Cricetulus griseus: one gene and its partners. The protein of the gene in region 1 purifies or fractionates together with the protein of each later gene. This does not show direct contact. Links are inferred from orthologs where the notes say so. Each region holds a gene or a part of one and is shown on either strand. Other genes may lie near its edges.

Evidence for each region. The genes of interacting proteins can lie anywhere in the genome.
Region 2: the proteins of Actl6a (region 1) and Vps72 purify together in Homo sapiens (affinity purification with mass spectrometry; 3 studies listed by BioGRID and IntAct, with this or other methods). This does not show direct contact. The link is inferred for Cricetulus griseus from reciprocal best matches to the Homo sapiens genes ACTL6A and VPS72.
Region 3: the proteins of Actl6a (region 1) and SWI/SNF-related matrix-associated actin-dependent regulator of chromatin subfamily E member 1 purify together in Homo sapiens (affinity purification with mass spectrometry; 9 studies listed by BioGRID and IntAct, with this or other methods). This does not show direct contact. The link is inferred for Cricetulus griseus from reciprocal best matches to the Homo sapiens genes ACTL6A and SMARCE1.

Annotation. Positions count from the first base shown.
Region 1 is NW_023276806.1:116,645,794-116,650,385, forward strand, and holds the start of Actl6a (actin-like protein 6A), read right to left. Parts: upstream 3,177-4,592; 5' UTR 3,025-3,176; coding exon 3,000-3,024; intron 2,796-2,999; exon of another isoform or gene 2,539-2,795; intron 197-2,538; coding exon 120-196; intron 1-119.
Region 2 is NW_023276806.1:61,380,339-61,384,054, forward strand, and holds the end of Vps72 (vacuolar protein sorting-associated protein 72 homolog), read right to left. Parts: intron 3,047-3,716; coding exon 2,870-3,046; intron 2,060-2,869; coding exon 1,915-2,059; intron 1,178-1,914; coding exon 790-1,177; 3' UTR 691-789; downstream 1-690. UniProt on the Homo sapiens protein: Deposition-and-exchange histone chaperone specific for H2AZ1, specifically chaperones H2AZ1 and deposits it into nucleosomes.
Region 3 is NC_048600.1:113,354,770-113,358,894, reverse strand, and holds part of SWI/SNF-related matrix-associated actin-dependent regulator of chromatin subfamily E member 1, read right to left. Parts: intron 2,991-4,125; coding exon 2,910-2,990; intron 2,094-2,909; coding exon 1,962-2,093; intron 1,718-1,961; coding exon 1,546-1,717; intron 1-1,545. UniProt on the Homo sapiens protein: Involved in transcriptional activation and repression of select genes by chromatin remodeling (alteration of DNA-nucleosome topology).

The DNA.
Region 1 (4,592 bases):
ACTTTCACTGGGCAGTGTTTCTAGTATCTACTGCCATTTTTGTTTTGAGTTTCTGTTTGAATTTAATTTTGTACAAATGACTCTTGTCTATCTAAAATAATTGTCATCACTGTTCTTACCTTGGGGCAGTCCTCACCAGCATAACCAGCCCTCACTGTATATGATCCAATGTCAAAAACAAGGGCGCCAACTTCATCTGAAAAGATTAAAAAACAATTACACATCCCATTGAGGGAGGCAGGGTAGAGGCAGACAAATCTCTGAGTTCCAGGCCAGACTGATACACAGAACTAGTTCCAGGCAGTTGGGGCTACACAGAGAAACTCTGTCTCAACAAAGCAAACAAACAAACCAAAAGAGAGAGAGAGAGAATTACGACTAGCAACTAACATATTTTATGTGTATAAAATGAGAATATTTAAAACTTTGCAAAAATTCATTATGTTCATATATCATTAAGCTAGTTTTTGTTATTGTTGTTTTGAAACAGGGTCTCTATGTGATGCTAATTGTCCTAGAACTCACAGAGACCCACCTGTCTCTGCCTCCCAAGTGCTAGAATTAAAAGCAAGCATTACCATGTCTATCTGGCTAAAACCTGGTTTTAATATACCTCCAAGATTTATTTAACCTTGTTTACCAGTAGAGGTTTAATCAGGAAAGACATGGTACAATGACAGCAAGTAGTGAAGTTCCCTTACTAAAGGGACTGTTCATAAACACCTATAGTCACAAAGGACAACAGAATAAATAAATAAAGGCAGAAGGGACAGCCCAGTGCCCTGGCAATCCTTTAAACTGAGGAAATAAGAAGGAATTGTTACCAGAACTTCAGAGAGAAGATTTTGTGTGGGGAGAGCAGTTGGGGGCTATGACATTGCAGTGAGCTATGGCTGCCTGCTCAGGGAGGGAGGACCAAGCTCATAAGACTCCAACCTCCAGGGAGACTCTATAATCTAGCATCCAAACTGGAACACTTTTAACTTGGGTCAGGGGCACCAGCTTTTAATGATTACACTAGAACAAAAGGTACAGGCAAGAAGTACAGTTATCCTACCGTCACCAAATCAAAGCTAAAACCAGAGACTGAGGCAGACCACTGAGGCTATCTCTATAATAAGCACAGAAGAATGCAAATGACAACAAGGGGATCTGGTGGCAAAAAAAAAAAGCAAACAACAAAACACACACACACACACACACACACACACACACACACACACACACGCATGCACACACACAACAAAGTGTATCAAAGTACCATTTAATCATATGTAAGAAATTATGTTTCATGTAATGAAGAAACACAACAAAACATGAAAACTGGAGAGCATGGAGAATCAGAGCTTACAGTGTATAGAGGCCAAATAAAAAGCATTAAATGAAGGTCTCATTAAGGCTACACATCCTAGACATTAGGAGATGGTTTAATGCTGAGTAAGAAAGCTGGCAATTTTTTTCAGTCAAATTCAGGGAAAGGCCTCCATTCATCTTTTTCAAGTACTTCACCCCAAACAGCAGGCATCCTAGAATAATGCACTTTGGCCTTTCAGTGTTGATTTGTCAAAGGATTTCTTCCCCAACATTTAAAATACCAATGCTATTTACCATAATTCAATTGCCAAGGCGTTAAGAGAAGCTCTTCTATAATGCTAACTAAAGCTATAAATCACAACAGCCACCATGTGCAATTCAGTGCTAGCTACAAAGAGGCACCCAAAGAGAAATCACACAGCTATTCAGACATCCAGTTTAGTGCAATTCCTATTTTAAAAGGAAACATACATGCTATTGTTTCAATGAAAATGGTCTCCTATCACCTATGATATTTGGCGAGACTTAGAAAGTATGGGCTTTGATATAGGAAGTAGTCACTGGGCACAGGCTTTGAGTTTAAGGGCTTGTCATTCCCAGTTTGCCAAGTTTGCTTTCTCTGCTTCATGCCTGATTTCAGTATCTGAGCTCAGAGATTACTGCTCCTACCACCATGCCTGCCATGCCTCCCTGTCATGATGGACTCTTTTCCCTCTGGAATCATAACAATAAAAATTAGCTAATTGTAATTATTACTGTCATATTTCTTGCCAGGGAAAAGACATATAAATTTAGCAGTTTCTAGAAAAAAAAGCTACAGTTCATTCATACAAAACCCTACACAGCAGTTAAAACCAGTGGGCATTGATCTACTGACTCAATACAGAAACATATTTGTAGTGTGTGTGACGATACTACTGGGTGCATGTTATCGTACACAGCAGAGAAAGAAATGGCCTTTCTGAAATGCCTTTTCCTCATCCCAGAAACTATTTGCTCCCAACTTACAAAGGAATCTTTTTTAATTTTTGGCTTGTTGTTTAACTTTTCCAATACTTTCTTCATTAACGCGGGGGACAGCGGCCCCATCTTCTGTCAGCATCCAAGCAGAGAAGAGTCCCTAACTAGTTACACGTGAATAAACAAGTACTTGGGAGCCTTGATTTCGTTACCACCAATCTATAAAAGGCTCCTGCCCATTTGGACGGGAACAGCAGCGCGTACCTCAGCGCTCCGCTCATCTAGAGACCGGACACACCAGGAACCAGATCTAGTCGGGAGCAGCTGCTGCACCATCGGGAGCAGCAGCGTCAACACCGGGTGCGACTCGCACCCAGAGCCCACACCGAGGGCCCGAAACCTCCGCGAGCTGCGGAGGACGAACACGCGGAGGAACCGGTACGGAAAGGGACCCCGCAAGCCAGGTGACTGCCATCAGAGTCCCGCCGGTCCTGGAGCCCCAGGGGCAAGATGCGGCAAGGTCCTCCCTCGAGGCCATCTCCGAGAGCCCACTGCACGCGGGCTCCGGGTCCGAAGAGGCGGAGAGGCCCTGACCCGAACGGGGACCGGAAGAACCGGCCAAAGACCGGAAGGGCCCGCCGGGGACCGGAGGGAAACGGAAGCGGCCAGGGACCGGGCCGGTCGTTCCGGCCCGCATGCCCCGAGGCACTGCCGCGCTCACTCACCTCCGCCGTACACGCCGCCGCTCATGGCTGTTGTCGGGCGGGGACTGGCCGAAGACTACCGAGGGAAAGATAGCAGCGGCCGCGGCTCCACTTCCCGAGAACGCTGGCCCTGCAACTTCCAACGCCGCCCCCTCCGGCAACAAAGCAGCGGCCGCACGCCCGCTGCACAGCCACTCTTGCTGGTTTCTCGTATCAACCAATGACAAGGGGCCCGGCTGAGCCTTTAGCCAATCAGAATGTGGCTCTGCTGCATCCCCGCGCGGTTTAGCCTTTTTAGCCAATGAAAGACAGCTGTGGGGGCGGGGAAAGGTAGAAACGACGGAAGAAGGGAAGGAGTTGGGGTACGGGCAGAAGGGGGCGGGGCTTTGCGGGCCGGTGAAGTGGGCGGAGGCTCGCGAGCGAGCGAGCGGTAGAGGGGGCGGAGCTTCGACAAACAGATGGGAGAAAGTGAACTCCGTCGCGCGCGAAGACGGTGGAAGGGGATTTTCAGGTGGGCGGGCAAGTGGGAGGAACTTCGTTGGGGAGTGGGCGGGGTTTTGAGAGCGACTAGGTACTTGAGAGTTGTGAAGCCAGGCTGGGCCAGCAACCGCGCTGGTCGTGGAGAGTGGCTGACCTCAGGAGCCAATGGGAACTCAGGAGGAGAAAGGCGGGTGTCTGCAAGGAGTGTGGAGATTGAATTAAAATTACCTCCTAGAGGATACTGGGGGGCAGGGGAAGGAGAAGGAGAAGGGATTGACATCTGAAGCAAGCTTGTTCCTAATTTGAACTAATAAAAAAAAAAAAGGAATTACCTCCTAGAAATCCCTGACCTTGGATTGTGATGAATTAGGATTTTTTTATCAGAAAAAAACTTGAACATTTATACTTGAAAAGTGTGTTACACTTTGAATTGATCAACAACTCAGATATAATAATAGATTGCAGCATTTTTTAAAATGTCTATAATAAGAGATAGTATATTATTTCAGCTAGATTCAGATACTACTGAAAAAATCGTGACATCAATTTCTTTCATTCTGTGAAAGTCATTCCACCAAGAAAAAATGGAGCGCCATTCAAGGAAGCACCCAGATCTAAATATATCCCCAATCTATGTCTACTTTCTTACTCTCCATGTCTACCAGCGTTGTCCAGAACAGTGTCTTTAATTCCCCAGATTACTGCAACAATTTTCCTCTGCCTCTTCAGGCTTTTCAGACAGCTTGATCTATAAAAATACCCAAACTTGTCCTGCCATTCCAATACTCATGGTTTAAGATTACATAAATCTTTGTAACTACTAGCAATGCTTAAATTGGAGTGTCAAGGGTCTAAGGCTCATAGCTACTCATAACCTTAGGAAGGTTGACTAAAACCCCATCTATCTCAGTGCCAGCAAGATGGCATAAATTGACCTGTCAAGAATGGGAAATTCAGCTATAAGATAACACTTTCCTGTTAACTGATACTGTGTGCAGTGAGCAAACAATGATGGCTCCAGTCGGGGTTTTTTTGCAACAAGGTTTCACTGTGTAGGCCAAGCTAATCTCCAAACTGTAATTCTGCCTCTGCCTCCTGAGTGCTAGTGCTATACGTGTGTGCCACCATGTATAT
Region 2 (3,716 bases), about 55 Mb from region 1:
AACAACAACAAAAAGAGGAGGAAGAGGAGGAGGAGGAGGAGGAGGAGGAAGAGGAAGAGGAGGAAGAAGAGAGGAGGAGGAGCTGGAGAAATGGCTAAGTGGCAAAGTTAAGAACACTGGCTGCTCTTCTAGAGGACCCCAGCACCTGGCAACTACATGGCAGCTACAACTGTTTGTAACTTCATTCCAGGGGATTCAATCTCATGTTCCGGCCTCTGTGTATATCATATGTACATATGTGAATACTGTATTCACATACATGCAGACAAAACATCTATAGACAAAAACAAACAACAGCTCATATCATCAAGTGCTATCAAACAATAAAAAGGCCTAAGGACAGGTGTGACAGCCAAGACTACCTCTAGCATTTGGGAGGCAAAGGCAGGGAGATCTTAGCTGAGGCCAGCCTGGGCTATACAGACACCTCCATCTCAAAAGAGAGAAAAAGGGGAGGGAAGAAGGGAAAGAGTGAGAAAACAAGGTGAGAGGGTATCCCAGTAGTGAACCACATGTCCAGCATGAACAAGGCCATGCGTTCAATCCTAGCACAAACAAAATTAAACAACCCAAGTAGACAAATACACTCACATATTCATACCATACAAAAAGGATTTTACCATTTTATTAGATTAAAAAAAGAAAACAACATTCTAACAAAACCAGAATGAACTAGGAGAAGAAATGGTGAAAAAAAAAAAAAAACAGCAAAGCTCATCGAGGACAAAGGGAAGAGGAGGAACTGAGAGCCAGGTCGGCAGAGGAAAGACGTTTCTATGGAGCAGGAATCTATTTAATGACAATTTTCTGACGCAAGGCTCGTGGTCCAGAGCCAGGGAGTGGCTCAGGGGGTGGGGGGCCAGGGCCTAAGGCTGAGGCAGCAGGGGGTAGTCCATGGGCAGTGATGTACTTCTTGTAGGCCTCACGAATGATCTTGAAGGCTCGAGCAGTGGCATAGGGTATGTCTGTAACAGGGTCCCGGTACAATGCTGGACGATGGGTCACTGGGCAGACCTCCCGAACAGGGACCTTTGGGGGTCGCCCTTGGGGAAACCACTCTTCAAATGTTGCATCATCACTGAATGTGATGAAGGTACGTGAGCAGTGAGCAGGAGGGACAGCAGGTCCAGAGCCAGCATGTGCAGTCAGTGCAGAAGCTGTAGGAGCAGGATCAAGTCTGAGGGCAAAAGACAGAAAAATTACAAAATGCCGAGGAGAAGGCAAGGAATCAGGCTGGGTGTGGTGTGGTACATGGCTGTATTGTCAGTACTTGAGAGGCTGAGGGAAGATGACTCCCCTGAGCTTCAAGCCACTGGAGAGACAGAGCAAGTACCTGTCTCAATAACAAAAAGCTGGGCAGGGAGCTGGAAAGACGACTCAGCATTTAAGAGTACCACCAGCTACTCTCCCAGAGGAAATTGGTTTCACTTCTAGCACCCAACAGCGGCTCACACCACCTGTCACTCCAGTTCCAAGAAATCTGTCTCCTTCTTCTGGCTTCAATGGGCACCAGGTCCGACATACGTACAGGTAAAATATTGATTTACATTTAAATAAAATAAAATAAAAATGCTGGGAGGTAGTAGAGCATGCCTTTATTGCCAGGTGGATCTCTGTGACTTCTAGGCCAGCCTGATTTACTGAGAGACTTCTAGGGCTGCACAGAGAAACCCTGTCTCAAAACAAACAAACAAACAAATCAACAAAACAAAAACAAGGCATGATGACTCACAATTGTTATCCCAGTACTAAGGAGGAAGATGCAGGTAGATCATGGGTTTGGGACTAGCCTGGGCTACACAGTGAGACTGTTCAAGAAAACAAAACAGGAAGGAATAAGCTGAGAGAAGGATGAGAAACGTCTGTAGGAGGAAGTAACCTCTAAGAGAAGCCAGGGAGACGGGGTTCACTCACCCTTCCACGTCCACATTCTCCTCCTTGGGACCAGGCTCCCCAACAAGTGGCACTGTCACTGAATGGTAGGTGATTACTGGCCCAGGGCATTTGCGCTTCTTGTGAACCTGCTTCTTTTTGTCAGCCTCCAGCCTTTCATAGGTCTCTGCAAGAGGATCAACAGGAGAACGAGGGAAGGATCAGTCTATCTTTTCCCACACGGTAGCTCTGGCCGGTGATCTATTAAATTACGTGTGTGTGTGTGTGTGTGTGTGTGTGTGTGTGTGTGTGTGTGTGTGTGTGTGTGTGTGTGTGTGTGTGTGTGCGCTCTCGAGTACATCTGCACACGCACATGTGCACATGCATGTAGAGGTCAGAAAACAACTTGCCAGAGTCAGTTCCCTGCTTATATTATATGAACTCCAGGGATCAAACTTGGGTCAACAGGGTTGTTGGCAAGTACCTTTACCTGCTGAGCTATCACAGATCTCACTAGGCCCTGTCCTATGATCTTAATTATTAATCTAATCACTGCTACTCTGGCCAGCTATAGAAGTCCTTCCTTTCTCAAATATAAGCAGGTCCTTACCCACTCAATACTGGAAGAGGCCTTGTGATAGGAACACACTGATTTCCATTTCTCCCAACCCCAAACGACCACCAACCTGCTCCTGGCTCAGACATAGTCTGTCCAGTTTTCAGATGAAATACAATTCCTGATGACAGTTTCCCTTTTTTATTTGAGGTGTGTTGGGGGTGGAGACATGGTGTCATTATGTAGCTCTGGCTGGCCTTGAATTCAGAGATCCATCCACCTGCCTCTTGCTCCCCAGAAAGTGCTGGGGTTAAAGACGTGCACCACCGCCACCCCACGAGCCGGAACTAGTAAGTGTGAACTTTCTAATCATTTTGCCTCCAATCTCCATTTGTCTGGTCCTCCAGGTTTCAGTTTTCCTCATGCACCTCACAGACTGACCCAGTGAACGTAAGTTGAGCTCTTCTGTGATCTTGGCCTCCCTGAGCAGCTCTTCCTGGGTTAGTGGTCGCTCACAGTGGGGACCCTTTCGCCTCCGGGACTGTCCTTGCCGTTCCTGAACGCGAAGGAATGTTTGTCGAGTATGCTCAGCTGTAGATTGACGCATAGACTTCCGACCTGCAGAAAGTAAGATGGGAAGAACTCTTTGAATTCATTTCTACTTTCTTTCTTCTTCTTTTTTTTTAATTTTTAAAACACATTTCCAAAATCCTGGCTGTCCTGGAACTCACTATGCAGACCAGACTGACCTAGAACTCAGAGATCCTCCAGCCTCTGCAGTGATAGGATTAAAGGCATGTAACATCACGCCCAACTAAAACAAATTTCCTTTCTTTTGTTTTTTTGTTTTGTTTTGTTTTTCAAGACAGGGTTTATCTGTGTAACAGTCCTGGCTCTCTTGGAACTCACTCTGTAGATCAGGCTGATCTCGAACTTACAGAGATCTGTCTGCCTCCGCCTCTCCAGTGCTGGGATTAAAGGCGTGTGCCACCACTGCCTGACTCAGCCTTCATATTTTTAATTTTGAGACATTCTCACTAAATTATCAGGCAAGCTTGCTCTATAGCACAGAAGTTGGCCTTGAACTTGTGATTCTCCTGCTGCAGCCTCTTGAGTAGTTATGATTACAGGCCTGCACCATCAGACTAGGTCTATTTCTAAGAATAATGATTTTCCCGAGTTGAAGAGCTAGCTCAGTGGTTAAGGTGCTTGTTGAGCAATCATGACCACTGGAGCTCAGACACTAGCACACATGTAACAAGCCCCACCCCCAAAACTGCAACTCTAG
Region 3 (4,125 bases), on another chromosome or scaffold:
ACGGTTGGGGTTACCACATAAACTTTACTAAAGGGTCAAAATGTTAGAAAGGTTGAGAACCACTGTCCTAGAAGGTCATATTATATCAATACAGCTTAATTATTATATTCCATGTTACTGCTCATGTAAGAGCCTTTCAAACTTAGTTTTGACTGTTACATTTTGCTTAGGAAATATTTTATTTTCTACATATGGCTTCTATGTTGCCAACCTTTGTTTCTACCACATAGATCTCCATTCTCCCAGTTATTTGCAGACTTGCTCCTCTATAGTTTTAGTCATGTCTTTCTTGCATCAACTATTTCATCTGGGTAATTAAAGTCTGCATATATCTTTAGCAATGTGAATGCTTAACACTCAATTCCTGTTTCTAGTCTACATTTTATTACATTCTACTGCATTTATGAGAACTTTTGCCAGTAACTCCAATGAATCCTTTCAAAGCTCACTTCCGATTCTTCCTCTTACTTAGCTGAATTTACTCCTGTCTTGGTGCCATTATAACCTCCTCCACTCTTTAAATCTTTTTAAAGTTCTGAAGAACTCCCTCTGGTGTGTTTAAAGTGGGATCTTAAATTATGATCTTGGTGTTTTTGTGGCTGGTAGTTGCTGCTTCCAATCCTGTCCAGCATTCAGTAGGACACAGAGACAGGTAAACCTTCACACAGCAGGATAAGTACATGGATGAGCATGATCCTAAAGGGAGGTGGCTATCTCGGGGGTAGGGGTGGGGGTGGGGGTGTCCTTGAGACTGTAGACTGCCTGCCTGGGAGGTCAGGAGAGTAATCTGCACATGGAATGCTAATTAGGAAGCCCGTCCATCTGTGAGTAATATATGTGTAATGTCTGATACCCTGACGACGTGTAATATATGACAGGCATTCATGAGTGATCTCATGTGTGGTATTCTCAAATTCATATTGGATTTTTAATTAAGCTTTTATAATGCTTCCATACACTCATTAATTTTTGCACTTAAGAGAAAATTTAGGTAATCTGTAAGAATGGATGTGGCAGATAAGAGCATGTAGAACTCTTCTAAAGGACCACAGTTCAATTCCTAGAATGCTTGTTGGGCAGCTCCAGAGGATTTGACACCCTCTCTGGCCTCCTCAGGTGCTGCACTCACACACACAAACCTATAGGCTTGCTACACACATAAAACAAACAAACAAACAAAAAGACTATAATGTTGCTTAGGGTGTGTCAGCAGAAGCCTATAATCTAGGATTTGGAGGCTGAGGCTGGAGAATCAGTTCAAGGCAAATCTGGATAACACAGTGAGACCCTGTCTTGAAAAACAAACAAATCCTATGTTCTGAGTACAAAGACTTTGTAAAGTAATAAATACAGCTTTTTTTCCTTAATCATTTTAACATACTTTTAAAGAGTATTTTTCTCATGAGAAAGTCATACACAAAAAAATCCTATTATTGAAATAATTTAAAATTACACTTTTTCATTTAAAATAAAAGCCTTGAGTTAAGATTTATCTTCTATTTTAATTCAGAGAGAATGCACATAGGAAAGCCCACCCCCCCTTACCGTCTGGATCTTCAGCAGGCTGAATGCTCATATAAGGCTCTCCTTTCTCCATGCGAGACTGTCTCTGTCGACTTTCTTCCTCTAATGCAGCTTCTGCACGACTTTTTGCATTAATGTATGCAAGGTATGCAGGGGAATTATGATAGGCCTTCATAGATTCATTGTACTCTATCTGAAATGGAAAGGGGTGTTGGCTTTATAATTCCAATCCTACAGGCTACCTTGTGTGCCTGCATCCACTATCTGAATGTCAGGCGCATGAGGCCAAGCATGGTGTCGGGACAATCATCTCTCTGAACAGAGAACACGAGGTTCAGATGTCAGGTGAGTGGAACTTGGTGGACAGAACTTCAGTGCTGCCTCAGCCTTATGTTTCTTTCGTAAATAATAGAATATTTTATTTTTACCCCCCATACCTTTTCTGCTTCGTATTCGTTTAAATATTCTTGTTTCTCTTCATCAGTGAGATCTCGCCACATGCCACCAATAATCTTGCCAATTTCCCACAACTTTAGGTCAGGGTTGGAAGCCTTTACTTGGTCCCAGACCTTAAAAGTTAACAGTTGAAAACTCAGTATTAATGCCTCAGTATATAATCATTTAAAAATACTCTACCATGAAAACCTTTAAACACAAACAAAATCAGAGTATCAAACTAGTATGTACCAATCAGTCTGCTTTAAAACTGCCAAGAGCTGGCTTATCTCACTTCATCTTTACCCTGCTGGATCTCATACACCATGTCATTTTACTCATAAATACTTCAAACTGATAATTTAAGAACATCAGTAATCACAGTATACACTTACAGCAAACTGACCGAATAATTAAGACTATATCTCTAACAGTTCATGCAAATTTACAAGTAGTTAATTTGTATAATACAATGGTATCATACTATCAAACATATATGTAATAATTATGATCAAATAATATTTGATCATACTTATTCATTTTATGCTCTTAGAATTGATCCTAAGAGCTCTTACATGTAGGCAAATGTTTTGCTATTGAACTACATCCCAGACATTATTATTTTTAATAAAGATATCATATACAGTCTTATATTTGCTTTTCTATTTAACATTTTCCTCATGTTTTCCAATATTCTCCAAAAGATACTAACATTACTTTCATGGCTCCAGACTAATCTGATTAATACATTTTAGCATTTTATTTAACCATGCTCCTCTTGGATCCAAGTTCTGGAATTCTGAAATCAGAATGAACCACTTAAAAAAATTATAAGTTTTTAATCCTTTCCCCAAATATGTATAAGGAAGACACCAAGCCAGTCTGAAATGGCACGGAAGGCCAGTCAGCAGGGCTGGGGTCCTCGCCAGGTCCTGGTCCCTGGTACACACCTTTCTGCTATACCTCATGTAGGGCATCAGCGGCTTATCTGGTGGCTTTGGAGGCTTTGGAATCGTAATACCAGAGGATGCCTGTAAAAGAGTTAAAATACATTCATTATTCAATTGCAAGGAGTTCACTAACACCTGAAAAGAAAGTTCCTTAAAAATTCTAATGCGCCTTTCTTCTACTCGTCCATGGATACAAGATTCTTATATTTTCTCCAAAGAAAATAGATATCACTGCAAATTCAGAAATGTTTATATCAAAAGAAAATGATTTTAAACATAAAATATTTAATGTTTTACTTAGCAGCTTATTTCCACTGTTTGACAACCTGGCTGCAAGAATAAAATATTATACATAACCATACCCTGAAAATGGGGTTATATGCCAAATGCCTCACATTTAGGACATTACCTGGTGTCCTTTTATTGCTCAGTTACTATTACACATACAGTCAGCATTCAATAGACTCTGAGCACTTAGCACTTACCACACACACACTGCCTACAGGGGATCTTGTTATCACGTCAGGAATGTACCCCATCCAAACAACACAAAGACCACCTCCCAGGTTAAAAAAAAAATGACCAATAAGAAACAGGAGGTAACTAGAAATCTAGCAAATATATTTAAAAAGAAAAGAAAATACGTCCTTTAGAAATAGACTTATTTCTCTTAAGGTTTTACATTATCTCGTAGTTTTCTATCTTTGTAGTCTTGGGACAGTGGTTTTCTTACAGTGGCTCAAGATGTGCAAACTGAAGTCCTACTGTTCTTGTCCTCACCAGACTGCCACATAGAAATAAAGAAGCCTGTTAGGCGCTGAGCACTGGCAGACCCTGGCTGGGCCTTTTGAGGCCCATTCCACAACATTGCTTTTGCGGAATAGAAACGAGGCCAAGGAAAGACAAGACACAGAAAAAGGAAAATATAAGAAAAAGGAATAAAATATTTTCAAAAGGGCAGTAAGGAAGTTGGTGAGAGAAAAAGTAAAGGAAGAAGCAACCAGAGTGTTAAGTGATTGGTTCTGTCTATGTGAGGTGCTACAGGCAAGGAGACACCAGGCGACTCCCAGCAGATGCCCCATTTAGAGCTGCCACTCCAAGTTCCGAACTTGATGAGGGAGCCAGAGTAAGAAGTAATATGGTCTATCACACATGGCTCCAACATTGTGTGTGTGTGTGTGTGTGTGTGTGTGTGTGTGAGAGAGAGAGAGAGAGA